Tamandua tetradactyla: one gene and its partners. The protein of the gene in region 1 purifies or fractionates together with the protein of each later gene. This does not show direct contact. Links are inferred from orthologs where the notes say so. Each region holds a gene or a part of one and is shown in the gene's direction. Other genes may lie near its edges.

Region 1 (6,935 bases):
AGGAAAGGCCAGATCATGAAAGGCCCTTGTATTAGTTTTCTATTGCTGCTGTAGCAAATTACCACAAACTTAGTGGTTTAAAACTATTTATTCTACAGTTCTGGGGGTCCGAAGTCTGAAATTGGTTTCACTGGCTAACATTAAGGTGTCAGTAGGACTGCATTCCTTTTGGAGGCTCAATGGGAGAATCTGTTCCTTTGCCTTTCCAGCTTTTAGAGGTTGCCTGCATTCTTTGCCTTATGACCTTTTCCTCCATCTTCAAAGCTGGTAGCACAGCATCTTCAAATCTGACTTAACCTCTATGCTATCTCCCTCTTTCACTTCTAAAGACACTTGTGATTACATTGGTCTGCCCAGATAATCCAAAATAACCTCTCATCTGAAGATCCTTAACCTAATCACACCTACAATTAAGTGTTACTTTATCTTACACAAGGTAACATAATCACAGGTTCTAGAAATTAGGACATGTATATCTTGGGGGTGAGGTGAGGGGCATTATTCTGCCTACCAAAGCCCTGTAAGGTCATAAAAAGGAGTTTAGATTTTATTCAAAGTGCAAAGTGATGACAAAAGGGAGTGACTTCTGATTTATGTTCATACTTATTTCTTTTTTGTTGACTGACAAAATAGAGGGCATAGGATAAAGACTAGAAAAACTCCAGCATTTAGAATCCAGAAGAGGAGGAAGCAGCAAAGAAGAGTGAGAAGGACTAGCCACTGGGGGAAGCAGAGAACAAGGAGAGGGTACTGTCCACAAGCCAAGAAAGGGACATTTCAAGACTGTGGGAGTGGTCATCTGTGCTGGTGATTGCCGAAACGAGGCAGAAGCTAAGGCAAAAGTGACCCTTGGATTTGCTAAAATGGAAGTCATGGTAATCTAGATAAAATGGGCTGTAGAGGAGTGATAGGATCATAGGCCACACTGGAGTTGTTTAGTGAATATGAGATGAGGAAGTAAGGAAAATGTAGATTTGTGCTGTCCCTTATGGCAGCCGCTGGCACATGTGGCTACTGAACACTTAAAATGTGGCTAGCTTGAATTAAGATGAGCTGTAAGTGTAAAATACACACCAGGTTTCCAAAACTAAGTGTGAAAAAAAGAAGGTGGAATACATTATTAACTGATTACACACGGAAAAGTAAATATTTTGTATGTATTAGGAAAATCAAACATTATTAAAATTAATTTCACCTCTTTCTTTTTACCTTTTTTTAAAATGTGGCTACTAGAAGATTTAGCATTACACATGGGGCTCACATTACATTCTCACTGGACAGTGCTGAGGTAAATAATTGTTCAATAGTTTTATTGTAAAGGGAGCCAATGGGAGGAAGAGTGACAGGGATTTACAACTGCTGACTATTTCCAATTTCTTGAAACTTTCCTCTCTCAGCTTTTGACGTAGTCGATTTGGATTCTCCTGGATTCTTTCTGGATTTGTAGGGGAACATTGTTCCAGGCAAAGGAAACAGTAATTGCAAAGGCACTGAGGCAGGAGGCTGCTTAGATGAAAATGGACAGAAAGACCATATTGTTGGAGTAAAGTTGAGGGGAGGGGAGAGTATCAGGAAACGAGGATCTGGAGATAAGGGCCTTTTATCATTTATTGTGATTGAGACAGGACATCAAGGCTTTTGGGGAGAAAAATGACACATGCTGAGAACAGACAATAAAGAGGCAAAGATGAGAGCAGGGAGACCAGTTAGAAGGCTTTTGTCATAATTCAGGTGAGAGACCAGGATGGAGAGGATGATGATACAAGGCGCATTCTGTCCATATTGCAAAGGCACAGCTGATAGAATTTGATGAAGGGTGTAAGAGAAGGTGAGGAGCTAAGACTATCTCTAAGCTTTCTGGAAGGATAAAGTTGCCACCTACTGAAATGGGAAATATTACAGAAAAATATTTGGGGGAGGAAAGCTGGACACGGAAAAAGCCTATGTTTTGGACTTAAGTGTGAGATACTTATTGCACATTGGAGATGTCAAGTAAGCAGTAGGGTATGTAAGTTCGGGAGAGAAGGCAGATTCAGAGATATGAATTTGAGAGTCATCAACACATATACGTATTAAAAGCTGTAGAAGGAGATGAGATCACCTAGGGAGTAAATGTAGATAGAGAGGAGGTCCAAGGGTTGACTCTTAGACCACTTAAGTTTACAAACTAGAGAGATAAGAAAGAACCTGTAAAGGAAACCAAAAAGGAATGACCACTGAGTAATGGGAAAACCAGGAGTGCGGTGTCCTGCAAATGAAGAGAAGAAAGTGTTTCCAAGATGAAGGAATGAATAACTGGGTCAAATGATGTTGACAGGCCAAGTAAGACTGTGAGCTCACCACCAGATTTAACAATGTAGGGGCCAATGGTGATCCTTACATGAGCAGTTTTGGGAGGTGATGGGGGTTAGAGCTTGATTTGGAATGGGTTTACAAGTGAATAGGATGAGGAGAGTTAGAGAAGATTATACACAACTCTCTCCAGAAATTTTGTTATAAAAGAAATGAGAAAAATGGGATGATGGCCGGAGGGGGATGTTGATGCTAAGAGGGGTTTTCCAAACTGGGGAGAAATTACATCTTATTTTTATGCTGATAAGCATGATGCAATAGAAACTGAAAAAATGATGCAGGAGCAATATCTCCCCCAAGACTGAATCTTGTCTGTTGTCGTGACAGGGATAGTCTTGATACACCTGAAATGCAATATATTAAAATATATATATATATTTTTTAATTTTCATATATATATATATTCATCTCCCTTCTAAACTGCTTTTCCCTTTTGTAGTCTCTATCTTGCATGGTAGCAATTCTATCCATTTAATCATCCAAGTTAGAAAGCTGGCATAGCAGTAGTGATACCACAGAAATAATATTCACAATTTCATCTCGTGTGAAGTGCAGCAATGGATGACATAGGGAGCTGTAAACACTCAGCAAAGTGCTAAGCCCCAGAATAGAAGATCAAATACCGAAAGGTAGACATTGGTTAGACCCAAATCATCAAATTCTAGCAATTCTATGTCCTAAATATCTTACAAATTTGTTCCCTCCCTCCGTATCTATTACCAGAAGTTAAATAGCTGAGTCAGAAATTCGTGATAATATATACCCTATCCCACCCCTCCCGGGAGGGATCTTATTGAAATGGAAAGCCCGGAAAAACCTCATTCTACAATTTGCAAAACATCCTGATATGGCTATTATTTATATGCAGGGGCAGGAGTTACAGAAAAGCAATGTTGTTTAGCCCGGTTAGAGCCTCAGGAAAGAACCAGCAAATCGCTATATACAGATAACCCTCGCGAGGAGGGTCAGCTAACTGCAAGACCGACCCTACACACCGGTGAAATCCGGCCGCTGTCCGCGCACCTGTGAGACTACAAATCCCAGCATGCTCGGCATTCATCAAGGTGCAAAGACGCAGTGTATGCCGGGACATGTAGTCCGTTCTACCTTAAGAAAAAACCAGAACGTCCCGCGACATCAGGAGGACTCGGGAAAGGAGTCTGAATCGGTCCAGGCTTAAGTTAAATCTTTCTCTAGAAAGCCCACCCTAGTTTCTTCGGTGATACGGTTTCTACTCTAAACAGGCCCCACCCCACAGTCCAGGCGGACCCATGGTGTGAGTTGTGTAGCCTCTCGCGTGAATACTTCACATTTACAGGCGAAGTATCGGAAAGCAGGAATAGGCAGTCTTTTGCCCTCAAGGCGCACGCTAGAGAGAGTAGCGCCACGCGGGACGCTACCTGGCACAAAAGCTGAAACGCCGCTTGTCCAGCAGCGCCGGTGAGGACGTGGCAAACCTGCTTTCGACTGCCGCTACCCTTTCCCCCAGAGGCGCAGGAGGCGCGAAGGCTGCTGGGAACGCGCATGCGCCCACCACGACGAAGCATACCCCTCTAACGTCCGCGGGCGCGGGAGGTGTCGAGTTTCGACAGTGGCACTTTGCGGCCTGTCGTGCGGTAGGGCGCGGGCGGGCGCGGCGGCAGTGGCGCGCACAGGTGATTGACTGGCCGGCTGGACGGCTGGCTGAGGGAGCTCCTGGTCCTCATCGCTTGCAGGTGGCGGAGCCTATTTGGGCGGTGGAGGCGGCGGCGGCCGTGCTTGGGAGGTGCTCCGCGGACCAAGGCCATGGCTCCGCGGCTGCAGCTGGAAAAGGCGGCCTGGCGCTGGGCAGAGACTGTGCGGCCCGAGGAGGTGTCGCAGGAGCACATCGAGACCGCCTACCGCATCTGGCTGGAGCCCTGCATCCGTGGCGTGTGCAGGTGAGGCTTGTGCACCGGCCCTTTCGGCCCCTTCACTCTGGGTCCTCGAAAGCCGGGCCGGAGCAGGGTGGGAGGAAGGACACCGAGGCCCGCTGCTTGCATCGGAACGGCGCGGAGAGGAGCGAGGTGGAGGTTTCCTCTTTTCCGCCGTCTGGGCGATCTAGGAAGCGTAGCTTTCCCGTGCTGTCTGCGCAGAGGTAATGCTGCTGAAAGCCTTTTAGAAAGGGTTCTGGGTTCTCACCTAGAAGATGGCGGTGGAGATGGTTGAAAAGCAGGAGCTGAGAGCTTAGCAAACGTTGATGGTTGTTATATCTTGGCTTTTTCTTTTGTAAAAAGGGAACTTCCTGGAGGTGAGCTTCATCTCAGTTTATCTTGCATTAGTGTTGACGCGAAGGCCTTTTTGGAGAGGGCAATTTTAGAAAGGTATGGTTAGCCTACGTCATCAGTACTCTCCATCCCTAGTTGACCTACCCTCACGCATTAGTTTTGTATTTTTTTAGGTTTTTTCTTTTTTGTCATTGTGATTCTACGCCACTCTGAGTATCAACTTTGAGCTCAGCTTTAAGTGTCAGCCTTCAAGTCTGCTTAGACTTTGACCCTAACCTTACACGCCTTGGTCCTATTTATTCCTTTCCCACCTTTTAACGCGGGAACTATAGTTTTTGTTCCGGAATGTTGTTGAATTGGTTTTGCCAAATTGGGCATGCTCAGTAGCCTTCTTTCAGCAGGCATTTGGTAAATGCTTTCTGGAGTTTTTACTTCCCGCGGGGCAGGGGCGGCGGCGGCGGCGGCAGTGATAGTGTATCCAGATAGAATGGTAGGCATAGTCTCTAACTTTTGAGCTTAAAGTCTCGTTTGGGAACTGAACAAGTTAGGGAACTTCCATAAATCAAGCAAATAATTCCAAGCTCTGGGCATCTGATTCACAAGAAGGGCAAATCTGACTCCCACGTTAAGTACTGGAATGACAGAAGGCCTTGTATAGTAGAATGTACCAAGCCTCAGTCAGTATCCGCGCAGTTTAGTTTCGAGGTAGCTGAAAATTTTTAATTGTTCACCGTTCATAATTCTTATGTTAAAGGAAGTGAAGGTGAAGTAGGAATTGACTGAGAGGAGTGTCATAGAGAAAATGAGTTTTAAGCTGCAGTTGCAAGATTCATATCCAAGCAGTTTAAAAAAAAAACAGCTTTATTAACATGTAATTCATATACTATGCGATTCACTCATTTAAGTAGACAATGTTTTTTGGTATATCGGAGGGATTGTGCAAGCCATTTCAGCAATCTAATTTTCTAACATTTTCATTCTGCCTAGAAGAAACTCTGTATCCATTAGATTAGCAGTCTCCTGCCCTGCATCCCGTGCCCCCAGCCTTAAGCAACCTAATCTACTTTTTGTCTCTAAACTTTCCTGTTTTTCATATAAGTGGAATCATATGGGGACTAATGTGAATGTCTTCTTTCACTGAGTATAATGTTTTCAAGGTTCATGTTGTACCATTTATAAGTACTTTATTCTTTTTGTGACCAAAAAATAATCAGTTGCTTGGATATACCACATTTTATATGTCCATTCTTTGGTTGATGGACATTAGGGTTGTTTCCACAGTTTGGCTATTATGAATAATGCTGCTATGAAAATTCATGCACGAATTTTTGTGTAGATACATGTTTTCATTTCTATTATGGAGTAGAATTGCAGTGATAACTCTGTTTAACATTTTAGAGAACTGTCAGACCGTTTTCCAAAGTCCAAAACTGCTGCACTGTATGCATTTTACATACCCATAAGCAATGCACGAAAGTTCCTTTTCTCCACATCTTCACACTTGTTATTGTCTTTGATTTAGCCATCTTAGTGTTTGTGAAGTGGCATCTCATTGTGATTTTGATTTGCATTTCCCTGCCTGCTAATAATGTTGAACATCTTTTCATGTATTTATTGTCTATTTGTTTGTCTTCTTTTTAGAAATGTCTATTCAAATCTTTTGCCTATTTTTTCAATCTACCAAATTTATTTTAACATTTGTTTCCCCCATTATTTATTTATTTTTAATTCATATGTTTTACTCATCTGTCCATAAGGTAGATAAAAGAAGCATCACACACAAGGTTTTCACAATCACACAGTCACATTGCAAAAGCTATATCATTATACAATCATCTTCAAGAAACATGGCTACTGGAACACAGCTCTACATTTTCAGACAGTTCCCTCCAGCCTCTCCATTACATCTTGACTAACAAGGTGATATCTATTTAATGCTTAAGAATAACCTCCAGGATAACCTCTCGACTGTTTGGAATCTCTCAGCCATTGACACTTTATTTTGTCTCATTTCACTCTTCCCTACTTCAGTCGAGAAGGTTTTCTCATTCCCTTGGTGCTGAGTCCCAGCTCATTCTAGGATTTCTGTCCCACGTTGCCAGGAAGGTCCACACCCCTGGGAATCATGTCCCACGTAGAGGGGGGAAGGGCAGTGAGTTTGCTTGTTGTGTTGGCTGAAGAGAGAGAGGCCACATCTGAGCAACAAAAGAGGTTCTCTTGGGGGTGACTCGTAGGCCTAACTTTAAGTAGGCTTGACCTATCCTTTGTGGGGTTAAGTTTTGTATGAACAAACCTCAAGATTGGGGGCTCAGCCTATAGCTTTGGTTGTCTACATTG
Region 2 (7,206 bases), on another chromosome or scaffold:
CTTGTTAAAGAGTGCTTTGAAAACTATTGCTTTTTTATTTCTTTGCTTTGTATGTATGTTATACTATACAATAAAAAAGTTAAAAAAAAAAAAAAAGAAAGAAAGAAAGAAAAAGAAAACCAGTGTAGCTGCTGCAGACCTCGAGAGCATAGATACACTCCCCTGTGACTTATACCTAACCCCCTGCTCATCACCTGTACCTGCCTTCTTTATGCCCGTGCAGAATTCTGTATTTATTATTCTCTTGATTATGTTTTTAAAGAAAAAATATCCATTTATATATGCATGTCTATATTACATTGTTTGGGCTTGCTAACTTTTATTTTTATGAAGAGGGCACCATATTATATGTTTCCCTTTGTTTATGTACTTTTTTCATTCAGTCTTATGGGACTAAGATTTATGCGTTTCATAGTTCATTCCCTTTTCATGACTGTATACTATTCTGTTACGGAGCTATACCACAGCTTGTGAATCTATTCACCCTGAGGATAGGCGCTCAGGTTTGCGGTGCTTTGCTATTATAAACAGTGTTGCTAAGAACATTCCTGGGATTGTCTCCTGTTGTCTATATATCCAAGAGTTTCTCTTGGGTGTATACCTAAAAGGGACTTCCTGGGTCCTGGAATATGCAAATAGCCAATGATACAAGCTAATGCTACAATGCGGATACCAAGTTACACTTCCAGTAGCAATGTGGTACCAGACCTCCTCCACTTGACATTGTCTCCAAGATTTATTGTCAGACTTCATTTTAATCAAATGGTTGTAAAATGGAATCTGGGTGCAATCTTAATTTGCATTTCCATATTACTAGTGAGTTTGACAAACTTCCCATATGTTTATTAGCCCTTTGTGTTTCCTCTTCTGTAAAATGTCTGTTTATGCCTTTGCCTCATTTTACCATTAGGCTGTCTTTTTATTTCGATTTGTAGGCATTCTTTACACCAAGCCTTCGACAGGTGCTTGTGCTGCAAATATTATCTCCCAGCTCATAGCTTGACTTTTCACTCTCCTTAAGGTGTCATTAAAAAAAAAAAGACAACTTTTTAGTATAAAATGTAAATACACACGAGAGTTTGAGAATAGCATAACAAGTTTCCATGGATTCATCATCCAATTACAATAGTTTAGAATTCATGGCTGCTCCTGTTACCTTTTTGCTGACAGCCCCACCCCCACTCCCAGGAAATCTCCATTTCAGGGATTATTTTTGAACTATATCCCAGGACTCTTGGGAAAAAAGACTACTATGTTATTATCACACCTAAAATAATATTAATAACAATCATTTATTATCATCAAATGCCGGGCCAGCGTTCAAATTTAGCCTGTTGCCTCATGAGACTTTATTTAATAGTTTGTTTATTAAAAGCATCCAAACAAGCCTTTCTCAGTGCCTGCCCAATACACCATAAACTAAAAAGGGATAGCTATATAATGTGTAAGAATAACCTCCAGGATAACCTCTCGACTCAGTTTGAAATCTCTCAGCTACTGAAACTTTATCTCATTTCTCTCTTCCCCCTTTTGGTCAAGGAGGCTTACTCAATCCATTGCTGTCGGGCCCTGGCTTATTCTGAGATTTCTGTCCCATATTGCCAGGGAGATTTACACTCCTGGGAGTCATGTCCCATGTAGAGGGGAGGGTAGTGAGTTCACCTGCTGAGTTGGCTTAGAGAAAGCGGCCACATTTGAGCAACTAAAGAGGTTCTCTGGGGATGATTCTTAGGCCTAATTTTAAGCAGGTTTAGCCTACCCTTTGCAGGAATAGTTTTCATAGGGATGCACCCCAAGATCGAGGGCTCTCCTATTGATTTGGTTGCCCCTCATTTGATTATTATTTGCATGGAATAATTATTATTTGCATACTTTCACTTTCAACCTACTCATGCCTTTGAATTTAAGGTGATCTGTTGTAAAAAGCATATAGTTACGTCACACTTTTTAAACTTTTTTTTATTGTGTACTATAACATATATACCAAGTAAAGAAATAAAAAGCAGTAGTTTTCAAAGCACTCTTCAACAAGGGATTACAGGAGAGACCCCAGAGTTTTTCATGGGCTACCGTACCATCCTCTCAGATTTTTTCCTTCTAGCTGCTCCAGAATATAGGCGGCTAGAGAGCTTAAATACTTTTTTATCATCACAATCGACTTTTTTTCCTTCTTTTTTTTGGGAAAAATAACATATATACGAAAAAGCTATCAATTTCAAAGCACAGCACCACAATTAGTTATAGAACATATTTCAGACTTTGACACGGGTTATAATTTCACAATTTTAGGTTTTCAATTCTAGCTGCTCTAAAATACTGGAGATTCCCGGTGCCTGCCCATGCAAAAATAAAATACTGGAGACTAAAATAGATATCAGTTTAATGATTCATCACTCATATTCATTTGTTAAATCCTATCTTCTATGTATAATTCCACCATCACCTTTGATCTTTCCATACCTCTCTTTAGGGGTGTTTGGGCTAGGGCAATTCTAAATTTTTGCTATTGGAAGGGTCTGTCACTAATGTGGGGTAGGGAGATGGAACTATCTGACGTTCTGGAGAGGCTGGGCTAGGTTTCAGGACTTAATTGGACCAGGGACCCACCTGGAGGTTCTAGATTTCTGGAAAGTTCCTCTAGTGCATGGAACCATTGTGGAATCTTATAAATTGCCCTGGGTGTTCTTTAGGATTGGCTGAAATGGTCCTGGCTGGGGGTTGGCAGGTCTACCTGAAGCTTGTGTAAGAACCACTTCCAGAGTAGCCTCTTGACTCTATTTGAACTGGGCCCTCTAGCTAGGTTTCAGGATTTATCTGGTCCAGGGACCCATTTGAAGGTTGTAGGTTTCTGGAAAGTTATTCTAATGCATGGAATCCTTTATGATGGTTTTCACTGTACTATTTTTAAAAGTATAAATATATAAAAATCAAATAAAAGATCATGCCTAAATCAATGATGATTGCATGTCATTAAGTAAAGATTATAATTCATCCATTCTTCAACCTGAAATCTGCCTCCGCAAAAAAAAAAAAAAATCAAAACAAAAAAAAACAGACTTTTCTAATCAGGGACGCAAGAGAAACCGAAATGAGTGGGAGGGGTGGCAACTTCATTTTCACTTTTCTCTTCCTGTTTTTTCAGAGCCTGGGAAAGCAAGTCAGAATTTCCAGTCTTTTTCAATTCCCAAATGATTCCCGAATTTAGAACCCATTTAAAGAAAATAAGTTTTTCTCCATCTGGAGAAGGCTCCACCGCCTGCTTTGGAACGTCCTCAATCTGGGACGGGGGGGCGAGGGAGGACCTGGGGGGTGGGGAGGGCGCCCCAACCCCAGCCCCTTCCCCTCCCTGCAAGGATGCGCTTTGGGCCTGGACTTGGAGGGGGGCGATGGCATGACAATGGCATGGCTTGACTGATGGCTGAGCTGCCCCCAAGCTGGGAGCTCTGGGAAGGCAGGCGGGCCCCTACGGGTGCGAGGGGACCCCCGGGGACTTAGGCAGCCTGCTCCGGGCGTCTCCCGCCCACTCATCGTCCCCGAGGCACTTGAGCCGGAGAAGCGACTAGCCCTGGCCTAACTCGACCGCGGCCGCCCGCGGGAGGCGACGCGACCCTCGGCGCCTCAGTTGCCCCCTGGGCGCCCCGGGGTCCCGGCCCGTGGGGTGGGGGAGCCCGGCCACTCTCCTTTCCCTCCACTGCCTCTGCTTGGGGTGGACAGGAACTTAGCAGGTGCCTCTGCAGGTACAACCCCCGAGAGGCACCTTGGGTGCTCAGGGGCCGCGCGGGTCAAGTCCAGCGCGCGCCTCGGGGGCCGAGCAGGCCCGGGCCTTTCCCGGCGCGGGACGGGCGGCCGCAGCCCTGCAGCCCTGGCCGCGCTCCAGGCCGGGCGCGGTGACATCACCGCCCTCCCCCGAGCGGCGGGAGGGGGGCCCCGAAATCCCCTAAAAAACAGCGTGAGTAATCGCCCGGCCGCCCTCCAGGCGGGGCCGGGACTCGGGAGCGAGCGGAGCGGCCGCGCCCTCCCCGGGAAGCCTCTCGGACCCGGGTCTCGGCGCGGCGCGGCGGCGGCGGCGGCGGCGGCGGCGCGCGGCCTCCTCGCCCCCCGGTAGGCGCGCACCCGGCTCCCGGGCCCCCGCGCGGGGCGGCGGTGACGTAGCGCGCAGGCGCGGCCGGATTCCGGGCAGTGACGCGGCGGCGGGCGCGCGCGGCGCATTTCCGCCTCTGGCGAATGGCTCGGCTGTAGCGCGCGCGCCGCGGGCCCAGCTGCGACCCCGGCCCCGCCCCCGGGACCCCGGCCATGGACGGTGAGGGCGCCCTCTGACCCCGCGGGGGCCCCGCGGTGGGAGTCTCCGTGCCCCCCTGGCCCCCATTCCTGCGCGGGCGGGTGCCACGCAGGGAGCGGCCCGGCCGGATGGTGACGCGGGGCGGGCCGGGCGTGAAGGGGCCTGACTCAGTTTCCCCTCTGGGTGGAAGGGGGGGGCTGGACTCAGTTTCCGTCTTGGGTGGGGGTGGGGGTGGGTGTGCGGGGCCCTGACACAGGTTCCCCCCAGGGTCCATGGGGGCAGCGCTGACTTAGTTTACCTGTTAGAGGAGAATGTAGCTGACTCAGGTTTCCTTTCAGGAAGAGGGGTGGGGGAGTGCATCCTCTTAATTTTGGTTATGAAAGTAGAGAAGGCCTTGACTTAGTTTCCCTTAGTCAAAGGAGGACACCGTACCTAGTTTTCCCTCAGGAAACAAATGTCTCTGGACCTCTTCACCCCACCCCATAGTCTCCCTACAGAGTCTAGAAAGCAGGCCCTGACTCAGTTTCACTCCAGGGGAACCTGGTGAGGATGGGAAGTGGCTTGCTGACCCTTGTCTCCCTCCCCTTTCAGACTTGTTCCCCCTCATCTTCCCCTCAGGTAAGTATACTGTCCTTTCTCAATGGTTCCAGGTGGGGGTTGGCAGGGGGGGAGAGGGTGAGGGGCAGTGGGGACAGTGGCCTGCATCTCCCCAGCAGAGCCAGTCCAGGCCTCTGGTCCCTATGTGGAGATCATTGAGCAGCCCAAGCAGCGGGGCATGCGCTTCCGCTACAAGTGCGAGGGCCGCTCAGCGGGCAGTATCCCAGGCGAGCGGAGCACGGACACCACAAAGACCCACCCCACCATCAAGGTCAGCAGCCAGCCACTGGTTCCCAGAAGTGGAGTGGGGAACACAGATTGGGCGCTAGGGAGAGGCTGCGGAAGTGGTCTCCCTTCAGGCCTCTGTGCCCTCTGTGTCTGGGAGGTGGGATTGGAATTCTTGGGCCTCTAGGTGCTCTCTGTACTTTGGACAGATCAATGGCTACACAGGGCCAGGGACAGTTCGCATCTCCCTGGTTACCAAGGATCCCCCTCACCGGCCTCACCCCCACGAGCTTGTGGGGAAGGACTGCCGAGATGGCTTCTATGAGGCTGAGCTCTGCCCGGACCGCTGCATCCACAGGTGAACTCCCCGCAGGACCTGGGAGTAGGAGGCGATGACGGGAAGATGGGAGGGTCTCGTGTAGCTGTGACAGTCTCACTCCTTTCTATACACAGGGCAGAATTCCTTATTCCTTTCTCTGTCCCCAGGTCTGCAAAGCAGACTTGCTTTGTCTTGAAAATATTTTTGTGGGTTCATTCCTCCAGCAGATGTGGGCTCCTTGGGGCAGGAATGGGGCCCTAATCATCTCTGTGGCTGAAAGAGCAGGTCCCTTGGTGTTACACTGCTTGTGCTGAGAAAGAAAAACCACAAACCAGCCATCTCCCCTGGAGCTCACATACCAGGAGACAGAGACAGGCTGTAAATAAATATACAAATAAATAAGCAAGATAGTGTTAGAGTGATCATTTCAATGATGAAAATAAAACGAAGTAATTGGCTGTGAAGAATAACCTGGGGCAGGGGTTATTTCTTTGGATTGGAAGTCAGGCAAGGCCTCTCTGGGCTAAGACTTTGATGATGAGAAAAAAACTGAAGCAGGGAGAGAACATTCCAAGCAGAAAGAACGAGTGCAAAGGCTTTGAAGTGGGAATGAGTTGAGTGTGTTTGTAGAGACAGAAAAGGGACCCCTGAGGCTGGAGGAGCTAGGCAGGGGCCAGGTACCACGGGGCTTGTCAAGCCTGAGGTCAGGAGTGTGGTTTTTACTGCAGCACGATGGGAAGCCGTTGGACCACAGAGAGATGGTCTGGTTGGGAGTGGGGGGCACACTGAATAAGGCAGGAGGGTCTAGACTCTGCTGGAGACAGTAGGACTGATACCGGGGCGGGGACTCAGCTTTCAGAACCTTGGGATCCAATGCGTGAAGAAACGAGACCTGGAGCAAGCTATCAGCCAGCGCATCCAGACCAACAATAACCCCTTCCAAGGTAAGGGGTAAGGGTGCGAAGGCCAAGGGCTTGTTTGGAGCACCCCTACCCTCCATTACCTTCCTGAGGCCACCTTCCCTGCCTTTCTCCCTCATTGGCCAAGACTCACAGGATGCACGGGATGTCGCTGCCCGTTCAGTGCACACTCCCATTTTACCACTGGGAGCACTGAGGGGCATGGCATCAGGGTGACAGGTAGAGCCAGTGATGGGTCTAGAACCTTCTCTTCCTACTCCTCTGAGTTCCTCCTCCTATTTCCCATGCCCCTGATCAGCCCTCCCCGCCGAGAGCTCCCTGTCCCCAGCCCTGTCCCCCGGCTCTCCTGACCACCTGCTTTTCTGCAGTCCCCATAGAAGAGCAGCGAGGGGACTACGACCTGAATGCTGTGCGGCTCTGCTTCCAGGTGACAGTGCGGGACCCGGCAGGCAGGCCACTCCGCCTGCCGCCCGTCCTCTCCCATCCCATCTTTGACAACCGTGAGTCACCAGGGAGCTGTGGGCAAGGGAGAGATGGGTCTGGGGAGGAGGAAGAAGGTTGGGGTGGGTACAGCCTGGGATGGAGCTCGGGCTTCTGTCTGTCAACGGGTGCATTTGTCATCTCTGTGCCCCACTGGGGGCTGGCTAGGAGACACGGCAGAGGAGACCTGGAGCTGCCCTCAGGGTGCAGCTTCCAGGCCTGGCAGGGAGTCAGATGCATTTTCAGTATCCTGTGATGAGGGGCTGGAGGGGACAGGCTCTGCTCCCACTGGTAAGGGGATATATGTGTGTGGACGGGGTTGGTATTCCATCTATGAAAACAGGCTAGGCATTTCGGGGTAAAAATCTTCCTGCCAACATGGGGCA
Region 3 (7,600 bases), on another chromosome or scaffold:
ATCCACCAGAGGGGTTCAAAGAAGACTAGGGAAGCAGTTCTCTAGCCATTGCTTAAGCTCTCTTACAATGGGAGCAGAGACAGCTGGGATGGCTAGTGAGTTAAGCACCTACCAAAAGGTCCCTGACACTAACAGATGCAGTAAGTTGTTGAAGTTTCAGAGAAAAAAAGCAGGGAAAGTATAGAGCCCTTTAGGATGGCTTTTCCCAGTGGCCCTAAATAGAACTTGGAGAGTTTTTCTCTACTACGAGGGAGATAAATCTGATTAAAGTTCATAATAATAAAATGTTACCTTGAGGGGACAAAGTACACTGTCCCCCTTGGAGCCCTGAGAGGAGCCACCATCCAAGAAGCAATGTTGGCAGCTGCAGCAGGAGCAGACCTGTCCTCATATCATCCTACAGCAAAAGGACCTGTGCCATGTTCTCTTCAACTGTGGCTTCAGCAACAGTGACTACCACACCAGGAAGAGAAGGTGGCCTCTCACTTCTACGTGCATAGGTGCATGCCTGCCATCTCTAATATTTAAGAGAGAGAGAGAAAGAGTGGGGTAAGTGAGGTAAGGATGGAAACTATCACCCCCTCTCCAGGAAAGCCTGAGCTCTGCACCAACTGGAATGTACCACCCTGCACCTTAGAGAACAGGTGTTCTGCAGGCTTTCTACTCTCTTTGCTAAGCAAACAGACATCCCTGCTGGAGTCCGACACGGTGGTCCCTGTGACTTATTTGGGTGCCCCAACTTATAGTCTTGGGATTAGTAGGAGGACGCCACTGGTTTTTAACAGGATCTTTCCATTGAGGTCTCACTGAACCATAGGGAAGGAGGTTCTATGCCTAGGCTACAGTACGGTGGGAAGGTGGGAGAGCATTGCCATTCTGGAGCTTTTTACCAACCAGTCAGTGTACAGGTGACTGTGATCCCTGTGGCCCCTAGCACCGAGATGGGGGGAGAAAAAATAATGATGCCATATTTGGGCCTGATGCTACCCCCCAAAACCCTCGCAGAAAGTGACTTTGCGTATGTCTCTTTGGGTCCCTACAAGCCTCCGTTCTATGGCTCCATCACTGAATGTAATATTGAAATTGACATATTGTCTATATGTACACATCCCCCAGACCTTATGGAATTGCTGCTGTTAGGGGAATTTAAGTATTACATTTAAAAACCTGTGAACCTTCCTGTCTCCTGGGTTGTGGCTAATAGCCTGGTCAGGTCTGGTAAGTCTTGGACTGGCAAATGAAGCAGGCCCCCTGTGGGGACTAGATATTTGGAAGAAAATCAGTTCTGTTCCTACTAAATTTTGTGCTTCCCGGGTGGATCCTCACCAAAGCCCCCATACTGATGGGTAAAGAACCAACCAGTATAAACTCTGCTTGTCAGCCAAACGCAGAGACTGATGTGTCTTCTGCCCATAACAAGCATATATATGACCAATCACCTCCCGGACTCATGATAAGACTGCCCAAGGGAATTTAGGCACCACACAGGCCTGGACCTGCAAGCATATAATGTCGTTATCATCAGAAGACACCAGAACAGCTTGGAAGATCGTTTTCATTTTCCAGACCCTGGGTCTTGCTGGATTCTGACTGCAGTTGACAGTTTCTGTGGCTTTGGTCTAGTCATTGCTGTGACTTTCCCAAATTCCTATAAATTCATATGTTTTTTTGTTTGTTTGGTAAGGCACCCCATGATTTCTCCAGAATGTGGACTTCCAGTTCGCAAATAGCCAATAAACCTTTCTTGGAATATAGGTTTGTCCTTGATAGAATTAGCTTGTTTGGACTAGGAAATCTGCCTCATACTAAAGTTCAGAAACACTAACTTCACATAAAAATTAGCAACAGAAAGTATCAAGGTCAAATTCTATACAAAGGTATTATAAGAAAAAAAGAGAATAAGGAGAATTGTATCATTACAGTTAATGAAAGCATGCCTGAAACACATGCTGACAAAACAGATCAAATCCGTAACTTACTATTTCAAAATATCTAAAAGCCCTTAAGAAAATGATACAAGACAAGAAAAAACAATGTGATTCAGAATGAGAGAATCTCAGAAACTAGGTGACAGAACTCAGGAGACTGCTAATGACGAATAAACTAGAAGGAACACAAAACTAATAAACACAACTGATTACATTATTCTGTGAAGAACCCAAGTCAGTCTTTATATGTTGATATTTCTCTAGTAATTTTGTTTGTAATTCTTCAAGAGGGGTTCATAGCAACAATAGTCTTTGAGTTCTTGCATATTGACAATAGTTGGTCTGTATCCTTTGTACATGAGAGTCAGTTTTGCTAGATATAAAATCCTTGGTCAACACTTTTTTCCCCTTGAATATCCTAAATACGTTATTCCACTTTCTTCTGGTACAAAGCATCACTGTCAAAAAGTCTGGTCACTATCTATTTTTCTATTCTATTTTGCAAATATTAAACATTAAACACTAAAATCTGTTAAACCTGGGTGTCTTTTATATTGGAGATTTGAAATAATTTATACCATATTTCATCAAATCAAAGATGCCTTCAATTTTAAGATGCACTATTATTTTCTGTATTGATAAGAAAGAAAAAAGCATTCCAATTTCAAGGATGTTAAAATGTAAAGGTATGTGGGTCTTAAATAAAATACAGTAGATTAGTCTTTGATTGCTATGTAACAAATTAGCACAAACTTAGCAGCTTAAAACAAATTTATTAGCTCACAATTATGTAGATTAGAAGTTATGGCATATGATAGCTGGGTTCTCTGCCCATGATCTCACAAGGCTGCAATCAAGTTATCAGCTGTGTTCTGATATGAAACGCAGGGTCCTCTTTCAAGTTCATTCAGGATGTTGGCCAAGTTTGGTTTCTTGTAGTTGTAGGCAAAGGTCCCTATTTCCTTGTTAGCTGAAGGCCAATCTCAACTCTTAGAGGCTGTTCCATTCCTTGCTACACGGGTCCCTTCATCTTCAAATTCAGCAATGGAGAATCTCCTTCTCAAAGAATATCCCTCACTTTAAATATCTTTTTTCCAGGAAGAGCCCAGTCTCTGTCTCTTTCCAGAGAAGAAAGAAGGTAGCATTGCTTTCCCTCTGTCTAAAACGCTCATCTGCTAGATCTTCACAGGACTCACATCATTTAGGTTTCAGCTCTAATGTCATTTCCTCAAAGAGGCCATCTTTGACCATCTAAAATCTTACCCTTCTTCCTGCAAGTCTCTTTCTCTTTGCCCTCTTTTATTTTCTCCATCGTGCTTATGACTTAATAAAATTATTTTGCCCATTTATTTTTGTTTGTTTGTTTGCTACACTGAGATATTGAGAGTAAGGGAATCAGGATCACAGTATCTCTATCACTTGATTATTCTCTAACCATTAACTCCAATTACATAAATATTTAAGGAAAGAAAGAAATGAGGGAGATTAGAGAGAAGAAATTGGCAGAATCTATGGGGTGGACCAGATGAAGATATTTACATGTATTAACTTTAGCATAAGCAGATAAGACAGGGAGAAGATAAGCCTAGCGTTAGAGCAGAATGTTGCAAGAGTAGGAGATAGACCAATTTCACTTTAACGGTTACTTTGTTATGTAGAAAAGGTTCAAAACAGGGTTGTGGAACCTGAGTGATGCCACAAATAAGAAGCTTGTAGTTTTCAGGTATTTGGAAATACTTGAAAAGATAATAGAAGAACGCAAAGGATAATGCACAGTTTGGCCTGGATTCTAGTCTCCACACTAAAAAGGAAGAAATGCTAATTAAGAAAAAAAAACCACACATTCCATAGGATGATGTAAGACATAAAATGATGTTAAGACAAAGTATATACCAATTTTTAATCCTACAGATGTTTCTTCAAATACATAAAGTTGTTTATAATGAAAGAAAAATCCTAAGTTAGTGTCCAACTCATTCTTGTTCTAAGAAAAGTGAAAACAGGGGAGCCAGTGGAAAGAGAAGTAGATGATAGATCCTTAAATGACCTTAATCGGATAGTGATTAGCTCTACCTATAACCTGAACAAGTCACTTAAACTGACAGGAAACTCCTCTCTGTTACCCACAAAATTGGAAGAGGAAGCTAACTAGACCTAATGTCATTTACAGCTCTAAACTTCACACAAGTCTATGAAATTTGTGAGTTTCTACTAGATTCTAAGCTTTTTAACGGAAGGATTACAAATATTAAACATCTTATTCATCAACGTGAATGGAACCAAACACATGTAGATATCCAACTTTTGAAACTGGAAATCCGGAGATATTACTAGTCTTTGATTTTTCATGTATAAAATGGAGGGGTTTCCTCTTCTTGTTATAAAAGCCAAGGACTATGCTACATAAATCTATGATTTCACTGGTCTTTATAGCCCTGTGTGCTTGGCCATAAACTCATAAAGGTAACTCTGAACTGTGTTCCCGACCATTTACACATGGTCGCAGTCACCTGCAACAATTCCCGCGGCCGCACCCAAACCGGAAACTATGGCGCTCTTGGAATAGACCGGAAAGCGCAGCCGGCAAGGCGTTCCCCGGACCCGCCCCCTCCACTGACGTAGCCGCCTGCCCTTTGACCCCGCGATCCCGCCCCTTTCCCTGCCTTTCTGTAGCCGGCGGCGGCTGCGTGTATGACGGCGATGGAGGAGGTCAGCTCCGTAGCTGCCCGTGATGGGGAAGCGGCGTCCTGCTCTTCCTGGGGGTTCAGCAGGTGAGAGGACAGGTGTGGGGCCGAAGGCGCGAGTAGTCGCGGGGTGTTTCAGGGCCCCTGTTCTGCTTCTCCGGCTCGGTCGGAAGGGGAGAGACGCGAGGCCGCGGGGTGGACCGGAGCCGGCTCTGGGAGGCCAGGGGAAGGCGCGGGGTGGGTGTGGCGGCGTGGGCCCGGGTGTCTGCGGCTGCCGGCTTTCCTGAGGAGGAAGTCCTCTTCCCGCCCCCTTTCTGCGCTGTCTCAGTTCCGGTTGGGGTCCTCCTTGTCACCGGACGTGAGGGTTTGGACCGAGATTTCTGGCCCGGGTTGTTTGATGTGGTCTTCTAGCCTTGGTGTCGAGCACCTTGCCTCCTCCTTTCAGTGAAATGAAAGCTAAGAGCTCCACTGTGCGCGATCTTCCACTGAGACGCTCCTTTGAGAGCTGTTACTGAAGGGAACTTGGTAATGATGAATCATGCAGTGTGGACACCCTGAGGCCTCTGTTGCTCACAGTTAGAAATAAAATGTGGGGAAAAAATATCCGAGTTACCCGTTCTTATTTCCCAATTCATTTTGAGGTTCTCCTTTCCCGCCTCTACAGAATTGGAGGTGTGTCTGTGGCCCTTACCAATTTCTTGGTTAGTAGTTCCTGTTCCATACAGGACAACAGTATTTTCAGTCATCTCGTAATTAATAAAGCGGGTAGTTTTATCTTGCCCTCTATCAGAACACGATATGCCAAGAATAAAAGTAATGGATATGTTATTTTCATCTAAAGGGAGACTTTCCATAAACCAGTAGCTACGTGGCTCACTTCGGACGGAAGGGATGCTTTTAGGGCCGTCGTATTGCCTGCTGTTACCAACACTGCCGCATTTCCTTGGGGATTATTATGTAATACAAACAAAACCCCTATTCTGTTACTTGAAGCATATTTGATTGCCTTATAGATCTTATCGTAGAAATGGTTCTTGGGACACTTCACAGTGAGGTAGAACTTTCTGAAAAGAAAGTGTCAGTCGTACTATTAATTAGCAAAGATAGTTCGAATGTAGTAGACTACTGTCCCATATAAGGAAGTCAGCAAGTAAAAGTGTACTAGGAATAAGATAATAGGAAACCAATTAAAATTATTTTCTTATTTTGTTACAATGCCAAAATCAGGTTGTGTATGTGTGTGAATTACCTATCTAAGGAATAGGTGATCCCTTAGAACATAGACATCTTCTGGTTCACCTTCATAATAGCATTCAGGAATTTTTGTAATAGTTATCTATTTAGTTAGCTAGAAGCTGGTATCATTTATCGATACCAATAGAAGTTTGCTAAGATAAATGATGACATTTTAATCATATATATTCACATATTCTTTAATTTCCGAAAGCTAGGCCTAGAAAAATGTATTCTAAAACTGACTTTTGTGCCCATCACGTTGTTTTTAAGTGTCCCATAATTCATAATTAGTGCTTTCCAGAGCCTGGAAAGGATTACACATTTTCCGAGATGATACTGATATTGATCACAACTTTCAGAGTGTCTCAGGCCCAAATGCCACAAGCTGGTTCCCTGTTTCCCGTTTTCCTACTAATATCATTTTTCTTTGTATGCCATACTGTGAAAACAATGTGACGCACACTGTAAATGATATAAGGTAAATACACTTTTTTTAAGAAACTAGTACGTTGAACTCTTTTTTCGTTTCTAAAATGCATTCATTTAACATAGTGCACAAGTGCTACTTTTCTGTCTACTGTGAGGCAGTAGGAGGTATGATGTGGTGGTCAGCTAGACTGCCTGGGTTCAAATCCTGGGTCTGCCATTTACCTGCTCTTTGAACCCAGGCAAGTTAAATTAACCACTCTCAGCCTCAGTTGTTTTCTGTCTGTTGGCTGGAGATATTAATAGTACCATCTCATAAATTGTTGTGAGGGTTAAGTTAGTATAGCCAAAGCTCTTAAGACAATGTGTGGCACAGTATTAGCTATTATTATTATTAGCTAGGTACTATTTTAAATATTTGAAAAACATTAGTGAATTTTTCATGGGCTATACGTTTTAGTGGTGGGGAGTCAGACAATAAACAAATAGGCAAATATTAAATGAATTAATAGTTCACTTAATGATAAATGATTTGAGGAAAATACAGCAGGTTAGTGAAATAGAGAATGACCTAAGAAAGGGACATTTTATTTAAGAGGGTTATTCAGCAGTGTGCTCTGTGATGAGGCAATATTTTAAAGGAAGGTTTTTTTTTTTAGGCAACATTTTAATAGAGGATTGAATGATAAGGAGTCAACTATACAAAGGGCTGAAGGAAGAATATTCCAGGCAGTAGGAATAGCAAGTGTAAGCACTCTGAAGTGAAAGCAAGTATGGCTTTTTTAAGGAACAGCAGGTAGGCCAGTGTGGCTGAAGATAGTGAGCAAGTGGGAGAGTGATGGGAGTTGAGATTGGAAAAGTGGGAGACAGAATATGTAGGCCCATTGAGGCATGGTAAAGTGTTTGAATTTTATTCTAAAAGTAAAGGAAATCCACTGAAGAGGTCTTAGGATGGAAGTGATATCTGACTATATTTTTAAAGATTCAGGCCATTGTTATATGGAGAATAAACTGAAGGGAAAGGGAATAGTAGAAATAGACTTGTTAGGAGCACTTTCAGGTAAAATGTGGTTGATGGTTTAGTCTAAAATTGTCCTGGTTGAAATAGTGAGAAATAATCAGATCCAAGATATCTCTTGAGATTTTCTTTGATAGTGGATGTCTCTAGAGGTTGTTTTTTTGTTTTGTTTGTTTGTTTGTTTTTGCATGGGAAGGCACCGGGAATCAAACCCGGGTCTCTGGCATGGCAGGTGAGAACTCTGCCTGCTGAGTCACTGTGGTCTGCCTGAGATGTGTTTTAATAGCAGAACCAGTAGCACTCATAGA
Region 4 (6,978 bases), on another chromosome or scaffold:
CGACACTGGTGAGTAACCGCGCCCCCTTTCCTCCCCTGTTCCCTCCTCTCCCAATCCCTTTTGCTCCTGGGTCGCAGCCCAGAGTCCCAGGGAGTGATCAGCGGTGCTGTTTTCCTTATCATCCTCTTCTGCTTCATCCCTTTTCCCTTCCTGAACTGCTTCGTGGAGGAGCAGTGTAAGGCCTTCCCCCACCATGAAGTAAGTGGGGGATTGGGGGTGGTTGCCTATGGATGGGAGCTGGGAGTAACTTGAGAAAGTTGGGGTTATTTGGACTTGGGGAAAACAGGAATTCTTGGGAGAAGAGGTGGAGTGGGAGGAGGGTTGAGTGATGACCTGCTTGAGCCTCCCCCAGTTTGTGGCCCTGATAGGTGCCCTCCTTGCCATCTGCTGCATGATTTTCCTGGGCTTTGCGGATGATGTACTGAATTTGCGCTGGCGCCATAAGCTGCTGCTGCCCACAGCTGCCTCATTACCACTACTCATGGTCTATTTCACCAACTTTGGCAACACAACCATTGTGGTACCCAAACCCTTCCGTCCAATTCTTGGCCTGCATCTGGACTTAGGTGAGTAGCCCTGCCACTTAGTGCCCCTCTGGCCCTTACTTCAGGTCAGCAGATATCCAGCAGAATACCCTTCCTGATATATCAGATATCTATCAGAACACCCTTCCTGATGCCCTGCATTCTTCTCCAGTGTTCCTGTTCCACTCCTGTGTCTTCTTCTGCCTTCTGTCCCTCATCTTGTCCACTCTCCTTACCATGCCCCTCAGAAGAATATTCTTCAATCCACTTTCCATAGGTGGCACTAGTTCTTTTCATACTGTCTTTTCTACCAGGCATTCTGTACTATGTCTACATGGGGCTGCTGGCAGTGTTCTGTACCAATGCCATCAATATTCTGGCAGGAATCAATGGGCTAGAGGCTGGCCAGTCACTAGTCATTTCTGCTTCCATCATTGTCTTCAACCTGGTAGAGCTGGGAGGTAGGTGGCTTGGCAGAAGAATGAGAAAGAAGTCTGAGTGTTTGGTGAGTTGCCTGATATATGACTTTGGGTAACTCAGAAGCAATATGTGATTAATTATAGAAGAAAAAAGAAGCTATTTGCTTTGCAAATAATAACTAATATTGATTGTAAGAGAAATAGCAGCCCTGTCATCTGTCACTGCATTGATACTAATAGTTAGGCCGTGGTATTCTTCTGTTGAACATAAACAATTTCATAGAACCCCCAAATCAGACAAGCTCACATTGTGATTGTACTGATGCAAGACAAAGACCAGACCCCTCTATAATCATATCTGAGAACAGGCAGAACCACAGGAACACTGTGCAAACCACAAAAATGACCAAACATCCTCCTCTCCTGGCTAACGTGAGTGACTGCAGCTTCTTTCCAATAATAGTGCAGTTCCTCCTACTTCTTAGATAAAAACTATTAAGATGCTCACCCATAGAATTATTCCTGCTTTCTGATAGCTCTCAGTTCAGAGAAAAACTCTGCTTCTTTGCATCCTTCCCCAAATTACCCAAAACAAATCCTTTAACAAGCTCTCCTGACACCCTCTTACTGAGGTGCTGTGTCATTCCCTTTACAGCATGGATTTCCACAGTCTTCCTGCTGCAACAAGTTAACAACCCAACTTTGACTATAGATGTGCTTCTGGTGGTCTTTGGGCATTGGGTATCAACAAGCGCTTATTAAAGTTAACCACTTTTCATTTTGTGTTTTCTTTATTATCATTTTTTAAAAAAATTTTATTTAAAGCACTTTTCAAACATCTCATTTAAACCTCATAAAAACTCTATGGAGCAGGTGTTATCACCTCCATTTTAGAGATGAGGAAACAGGCTTAGAGAAGTTGAATGTATCATGATCAAGGCCACACAGCAAGGAAAGAAGGCTCATATTCAAACCCAGGTCTGAAAGTCCTAAACCAAATTTAAAACAGTAATTAGTTTAGGAAGGCTCTGTGAAAGGGGTGGTATATCCAGAATTGCTAGGGTGACATGAGAGGGTTAGTGAGTACTTGAATGTGATTTGGGAGAGGTTGATGCTGCTTGGAACAGAACTTAGAGATAGGTTGGACAGACAGAAATAGAACCAAGTAGCTATTAACTTTCCCCCTCTTCCTTTTTTCTTTGCTCCCAAAGGTGACTGTCGGGATGATCATGTCTTTTCCCTCTACTTCATGATACCTTTTTTTTTCACCACCCTGGGACTGCTCTACCATAACTGGTAAGTAGGCTAAGGGAGAGAACTGTGTGAATGTGTGGTCCTGATCATGGCCCACCTCTTGATGGAGAGGCTAAACCCGTGTTGAGTATCTTCTGGGTCCTCAATTGTTAGAATTCGGAAACTGCTCTCTGCCCTGCAATATTTGGGGCAAGAACCCTCAGGTATTGATGAATTCAGGTCTCTGTGTGCTACAAAGTTGCTGGAAGAACTGGAGTCTCCTGAGTCAAAACTAGGGTCAGGATTACCTACTGGCCAGTGTGAGAGGTGAGAGAAAGGGTTGGTAATGCTTCTTGCCATTGGCTTAGATACCCCCACCCCCCACAGGTACCCATCACAGGTGTTTGTGGGAGATACCTTCTGTTACTTTGCTGGCATGACCTTTGCCGTGGTGGGCATCTTGGGACACTTCAGCAAGACCATGCTACTGTTCTTCATGCCCCAGGTGTTCAACTTCCTCTACTCACTGCCTCAGCTCCTGCACATCATCCCCTGCCCTCGCCACCGTATACCCAGGTAGCCGCCTTGGGTACCAGGGTAGAAAAGGGTAGCCATTGAAGGGACATCAAAATCTTTTCACTTGGGATGTCTAAAGCCAGCCTATACATTTGCTTGCAAAGAGAGTGAGTGTGCCCAAAGAAGGGCTAACTCTTTCCATGTGGGTAGCCCTTTTGTAATCTACAAAGCAATTTACTTACATAAACTCATTTAAAATTCAGAGTAGCTCTGATCACACAGTAGTAAGCAGCAGAGCCAGAAATAGATCTCATATTGTTTAATTCCACAGTCACTTCTCTTCCTATTGATTAACCACTGGGAGGAGAGTTCTTTAAGTAATGTCACAGTCACATAAAGCTCTCTTCTCACCCCACCCCACCCCACAGACTCAATACCAAAACAGGCAAACTGGAGATGAGCTATTCCAAGTTCAAGACCAAGAGCCTCTCTTTCTTGGGCACCTTTATTCTAAAGGTAACAGAGTGACAAGGAGGTAAGGCCTTAGGCAGCCATCCTGAACTCGGGGCATGGGAACCCTGGGGCTGCCTTAGATCAAAGGGAATGTGGAAGCAGTAGGTAGATCCACATTCCTGAAGCATAGGTTTTAGCTGCAGTTCTCTCCACCTCTGGCCCCTCCAGGTAGCAGAGAGCCTCCGGCTATTGACAGTGCGGCAGAATGAGAATGAGGATGGTGCCTTCACCGAGTGCAACAACATGACCCTCATCAATTTGCTGCTCAAAATCTTTGGACCCATGTATGAGCGAAACCTCACATTGCTCTTGCTGCTGCTGCAGGTGAGGTTGAGGATGGGGTCTCCACCTCCTTCTTGTCTCACTTTCTCTGTGGTTCTCACTTGAATCCTTTTCTTCTTACAGATCCTGGGCAGTGTTGTCACCTTCTCCATTCGGTACCAGCTTGTCCGACTCTTCTATGATGTCTGAGTCCCCTGATCATTGCTCTCTACCTCGAAATCTCCAGGGTTCCCGACTCAGGCTGAGCTTTTTCTGAACCAAGACTGTCTCCCAGTGCAGGCCTCTCCCACACTTCATTCTTCCAGAATTTGTTCTCAGCTTTTCCCGTCCCTGATGATGCCCTCTTAACGACTATTGGTTGGGCTTTGCCTATGGCTTTCTTCAACTTGCCATTCTCTTCCTCTTCATCCTGTTTCTGCCCTGAGGTAGGATATGGCAGCTTTTATGCAGTTATCCACAACTCAACTCTCAGAGTCCTGACAGCCAAGGAAAATGCCAGGCCTTGGGATAGAACCTGGGCTGGGGACAGAGACACAGACCTGAAGGTGACTTGACATTTGACTACAAATTAAGTGTTCTGATTAGTAAGAGCAGACCAGGAGCCAGGTGCTCCCAATGTTGACAATAAAGTGATGTCTTTTTATTGTTCCTGAAGGTATTTTTCCTGTATGGGCATTTTAGGGTAGGATGGAAGGGTTAGTGAGGGCATCCCCAAAAGGATACCTATTTCTCTGCTCCATCCTTTTCATTACACCGGACCCCTTCTACCAAGAAGTGAACAGAAAGAATTGAGAACAGATAGCCCATGTTGAATAAATATTGAAATAATGATATTTTGGGTGGCGTTGAGGACCAGAAGATTGGAGTTATCTAATTTCAGGCATAGGTTCATACTTTTAGGTGACTCATTTCTTCCCTTTTTCATTCGCCCTTTGCCCGATAGGAGGACAGAATGAGAAGTAACCAGACCTGGAAGGGTAAGCAGCGGTGGTCTTAGTGTTCACTCCATTTCTTTAAAAATCCTAGGCCAGCCCGGATTTCCCAGAGGCTTTTTAGGCGGTTTTAAACTCCACCCACTTTGTCTTCCGGTCTGGTCTCCCACTGTAGCGTTTAAATCGCGCGCGCTTCACATGGATTGGCTACATCTGGGGAGGTTGGGCGTCTGCGGTGCGCCTCTCCTCCTCGCCTTTTCCCCCGGGCTAAGGGTTTTCAAATTCGACCAATCGGCAGGCGCTCTTCCTCCTTCGAGAAGCGTCATCAAAGGGTTAACAGTAGCCAATCGGAGGCAGGTATTAGAGAAGAGAGCCAATCAGGAAGGTGCGGGGGTGTGTCCTAGGGGCTATAAAAGTGGCCCCACGGCGCGTGCGACGGCAGTTGGACTGCGGCTGGCTGCTGTGATTTTCAGTGTTGAGAAGCTTTTTCGTCTTTGCTTATCCTACCTCGCGCGGCATGTCGGGGCGCGGCAAGACCGGCGGTAAGGCCCGCGCTAAGGCCAAGTCGCGTTCATCGCGCGCGGGCCTCCAGTTTCCTGTGGGCCGCGTTCATCGGCTGCTGCGGAAGGGTCACTACGCGGAGCGTGTGGGCGCCGGCGCTCCGGTGTACCTGGCCGCGGTGCTCGAGTACCTGACCGCTGAGATCCTAGAGCTGGCGGGCAACGCGGCCCGCGACAACAAGAAGACGCGGATCATCCCTCGCCACCTGCAACTCGCCATCCGCAACGACGAGGAGCTCAACAAGCTGCTGGGTGGCGTGACGATCGCCCAGGGAGGCGTCCTGCCCAACATTCAGGCCGTCCTGCTGCCCAAGAAGACAAGCGCCACCGTTGGGCCTAAGGCGCCTGCGGGCGGCAAGAAGGCCACGCAGGCCTCTCAGGAGTACTGAGGGAGGCCCCGCCGGAGTCGGGCCGCCCCCGGCCCTCCCCATGCCACCACAAAGGCCCTTTTAAGGGCCACCACAGCCCTCACGGAAAGAGCTGAGCGGCGGCCCCCGAGCCGTAACCTTCATCCCCGGCCCTTCACCCCCACACCCCCCGGCCTCTCCTCGCCGCGCGTTTGCTTCCGGCCTCTGCAGCCGCGGGCCTTGCAGGCCTGCGTTTCTATTTCACCTACGGGGAGGTTGGAAAGACAGGCTGTCCTCTGTGGTAGAAGCACCTGGCCTGCCGGCGCAGCTCTGCTCCCACACCGCTTTCGGTCTCTCCAGTGGCCTTGGCGTGGGGGCGCGGCCCCTGCTCCAGAGCTAGTTACCCATCCGCTCCTATCAATTGAGCCGCGGGGTGGCGGTGAGACGGGATCCCCTCCGAGGAGACCGGCCTCCCGCCCTGCAATTGCTGCTGCCAGGCGGCTGAGGGTGCAGCCCATGCCCAGGGGTCGGACGGCCCTGCGGCCCTCAAGGTGAGTTGGTGCAGAGAGCGGCCGGCAGAGGCCCTCACCGCCGCGGCAGAGTGGTCGTCTGTTACCTTTCCAGCTTGGTGCTTAGCCCAGGACTTTTCAGACGTGACTGTTGATTTCCAGGCTTTGACGGGAGAGGGACTGGTCACTTAATTTGCTTGGGTGCCCTTTTGCTGCCAAGTCACGGGCTTTCCCATCTATTCCTCCATCTTTATTCATAGGCTTGTCTGCTACCGCCTGGGCTGTGATACGAATGTTTCGCCAGAGATGACTGCCTCTCGGAAAGAAGCTTGGGGGAGGGGCAGAGGCCTCCAGCTGGGAGTCACAGCTGACTGTGTGGACAGTTCTGTGTAGGTGCCTGAAACCGACTGGTGGCCAGGCCTGTGGGGTCTACCCTCTCCACCTTTATTTCCCTTCCAGCAACTCAATTCAGCAATGCAAGCACCTCCTAGATAACCAGCACAAGTCAGTTCATCCCTGTCTGGACTGAGCCTCTGTTGGCTTCTGAACTGGAATTTTGCAGATAACCCATCCAAGACTAGTACCTTAGTTATTGGGAAATTTCAGATGGACTAATTTTATTAAATGTTTCTTTTTTAATGAGGAGTCTCTTCATTTTGCAAGAGTTGTAGGATTGATTTTAGAGTGTGTATAGTGGGGGATTACCTAAATAAGGGAGTTCATTAACTAGAGAAGGAGCAAGCCACAGTATTTTTGGATTACAGTTCTGTGTTTCTTGGGAGAGAATTCCTTCTGTTTGAAATGAGAGCTACTGAAGTCGAAAGGTTGTTCCAGGATTACTTTGGGTAGTGGCCTGGCCTCTGAAATAAGGAGTAAAGGGTTTTGTGTTTGCTATTTACTTATTTTAACTACCCCACTGGGAAAGAGCAGAAAGAAAACAATCTTCAGAACTGCTTTATTAGTAGAATTAGTTACATTCAAAGGCTATGACCTTTCTCTAAAGAGATGCAGCCCCCACCTACTGAGGAGGCCAGGCAAAGTCACCAAGGCGAGGCAGGCCCCTGGAAGTCCATGATCCTGGGGTATAATCACCTCAGTCAGCATCAAGAGTGGGGCACTGTGGCAACCCAGGTACCTGTGCCC

Evidence for each region.
Region 2: the proteins of USP48 (region 1) and RELA purify together in Homo sapiens (affinity purification with mass spectrometry; 3 studies listed by BioGRID, with this or other methods). This does not show direct contact. The link is inferred for Tamandua tetradactyla from reciprocal best matches to the Homo sapiens genes USP48 and RELA.
Region 3: the proteins of USP48 (region 1) and UBA6 fractionate together in Homo sapiens (co-fractionation; 3 studies listed by BioGRID, with this or other methods). This does not show direct contact. The link is inferred for Tamandua tetradactyla from reciprocal best matches to the Homo sapiens genes USP48 and UBA6.
Region 4: the proteins of USP48 (region 1) and H2AX purify together in Homo sapiens (affinity purification with mass spectrometry; 3 studies listed by BioGRID). This does not show direct contact. The link is inferred for Tamandua tetradactyla from reciprocal best matches to the Homo sapiens genes USP48 and H2AX.

The regions. Positions count from the first base shown.
Region 1 is NC_135328.1:204,652,955-204,659,889, forward strand, and holds the start of USP48 (ubiquitin carboxyl-terminal hydrolase 48), read left to right. Parts: upstream 1-3,929; 5' UTR 3,930-4,137; coding exon 4,138-4,271; intron 4,272-4,280; exon of another isoform or gene 4,281-4,468; intron 4,469-6,935.
Region 2 is NC_135335.1:8,859,136-8,866,341, forward strand, and holds the start of RELA (transcription factor p65), read left to right. Parts: upstream 1-4,203; 5' UTR 4,204-4,293; coding exon 4,294-4,300; intron 4,301-4,870; coding exon 4,871-4,897; intron 4,898-4,992; coding exon 4,993-5,147; intron 5,148-5,310; coding exon 5,311-5,459; intron 5,460-6,272; coding exon 6,273-6,364; intron 6,365-6,708; coding exon 6,709-6,840; intron 6,841-7,206. UniProt on the Homo sapiens protein: NF-kappa-B is a pleiotropic transcription factor present in almost all cell types and is the endpoint of a series of signal transduction events that are initiated by a vast array of stimuli related to many biological processes such as inflammation, immunity, differentiation, cell growth, tumorigenesis and apoptosis.
Region 3 is NC_135345.1:69,395,948-69,403,547, reverse strand, and holds the start of UBA6 (ubiquitin-like modifier-activating enzyme 6), read left to right. Parts: upstream 1-4,580; 5' UTR 4,581-4,619; coding exon 4,620-4,699; intron 4,700-7,600. UniProt on the Homo sapiens protein: Activates ubiquitin by first adenylating its C-terminal glycine residue with ATP, and thereafter linking this residue to the side chain of a cysteine residue in E1, yielding a ubiquitin-E1 thioester and free AMP.
Region 4 is NC_135334.1:21,661,247-21,668,224, forward strand, and holds H2AX (histone H2AX), read left to right. Parts: upstream 1-4,840; 5' UTR 4,841-4,936; coding exon 4,937-5,368; 3' UTR 5,369-5,877; intron 5,878-6,095; 3' UTR 6,096-6,474; downstream 6,475-6,978. Other genes in the region: DPAGT1 (UDP-N-acetylglucosamine--dolichyl-phosphate N-acetylglucosaminephosphotransferase), read left to right, coding at 78-198, 353-566, 839-985, 2,155-2,239, 2,564-2,752, 3,121-3,208, 3,374-3,529, 3,611-3,676. UniProt on the Homo sapiens protein: Variant histone H2A which replaces conventional H2A in a subset of nucleosomes. Nucleosomes wrap and compact DNA into chromatin, limiting DNA accessibility to the cellular machineries which require DNA as a template.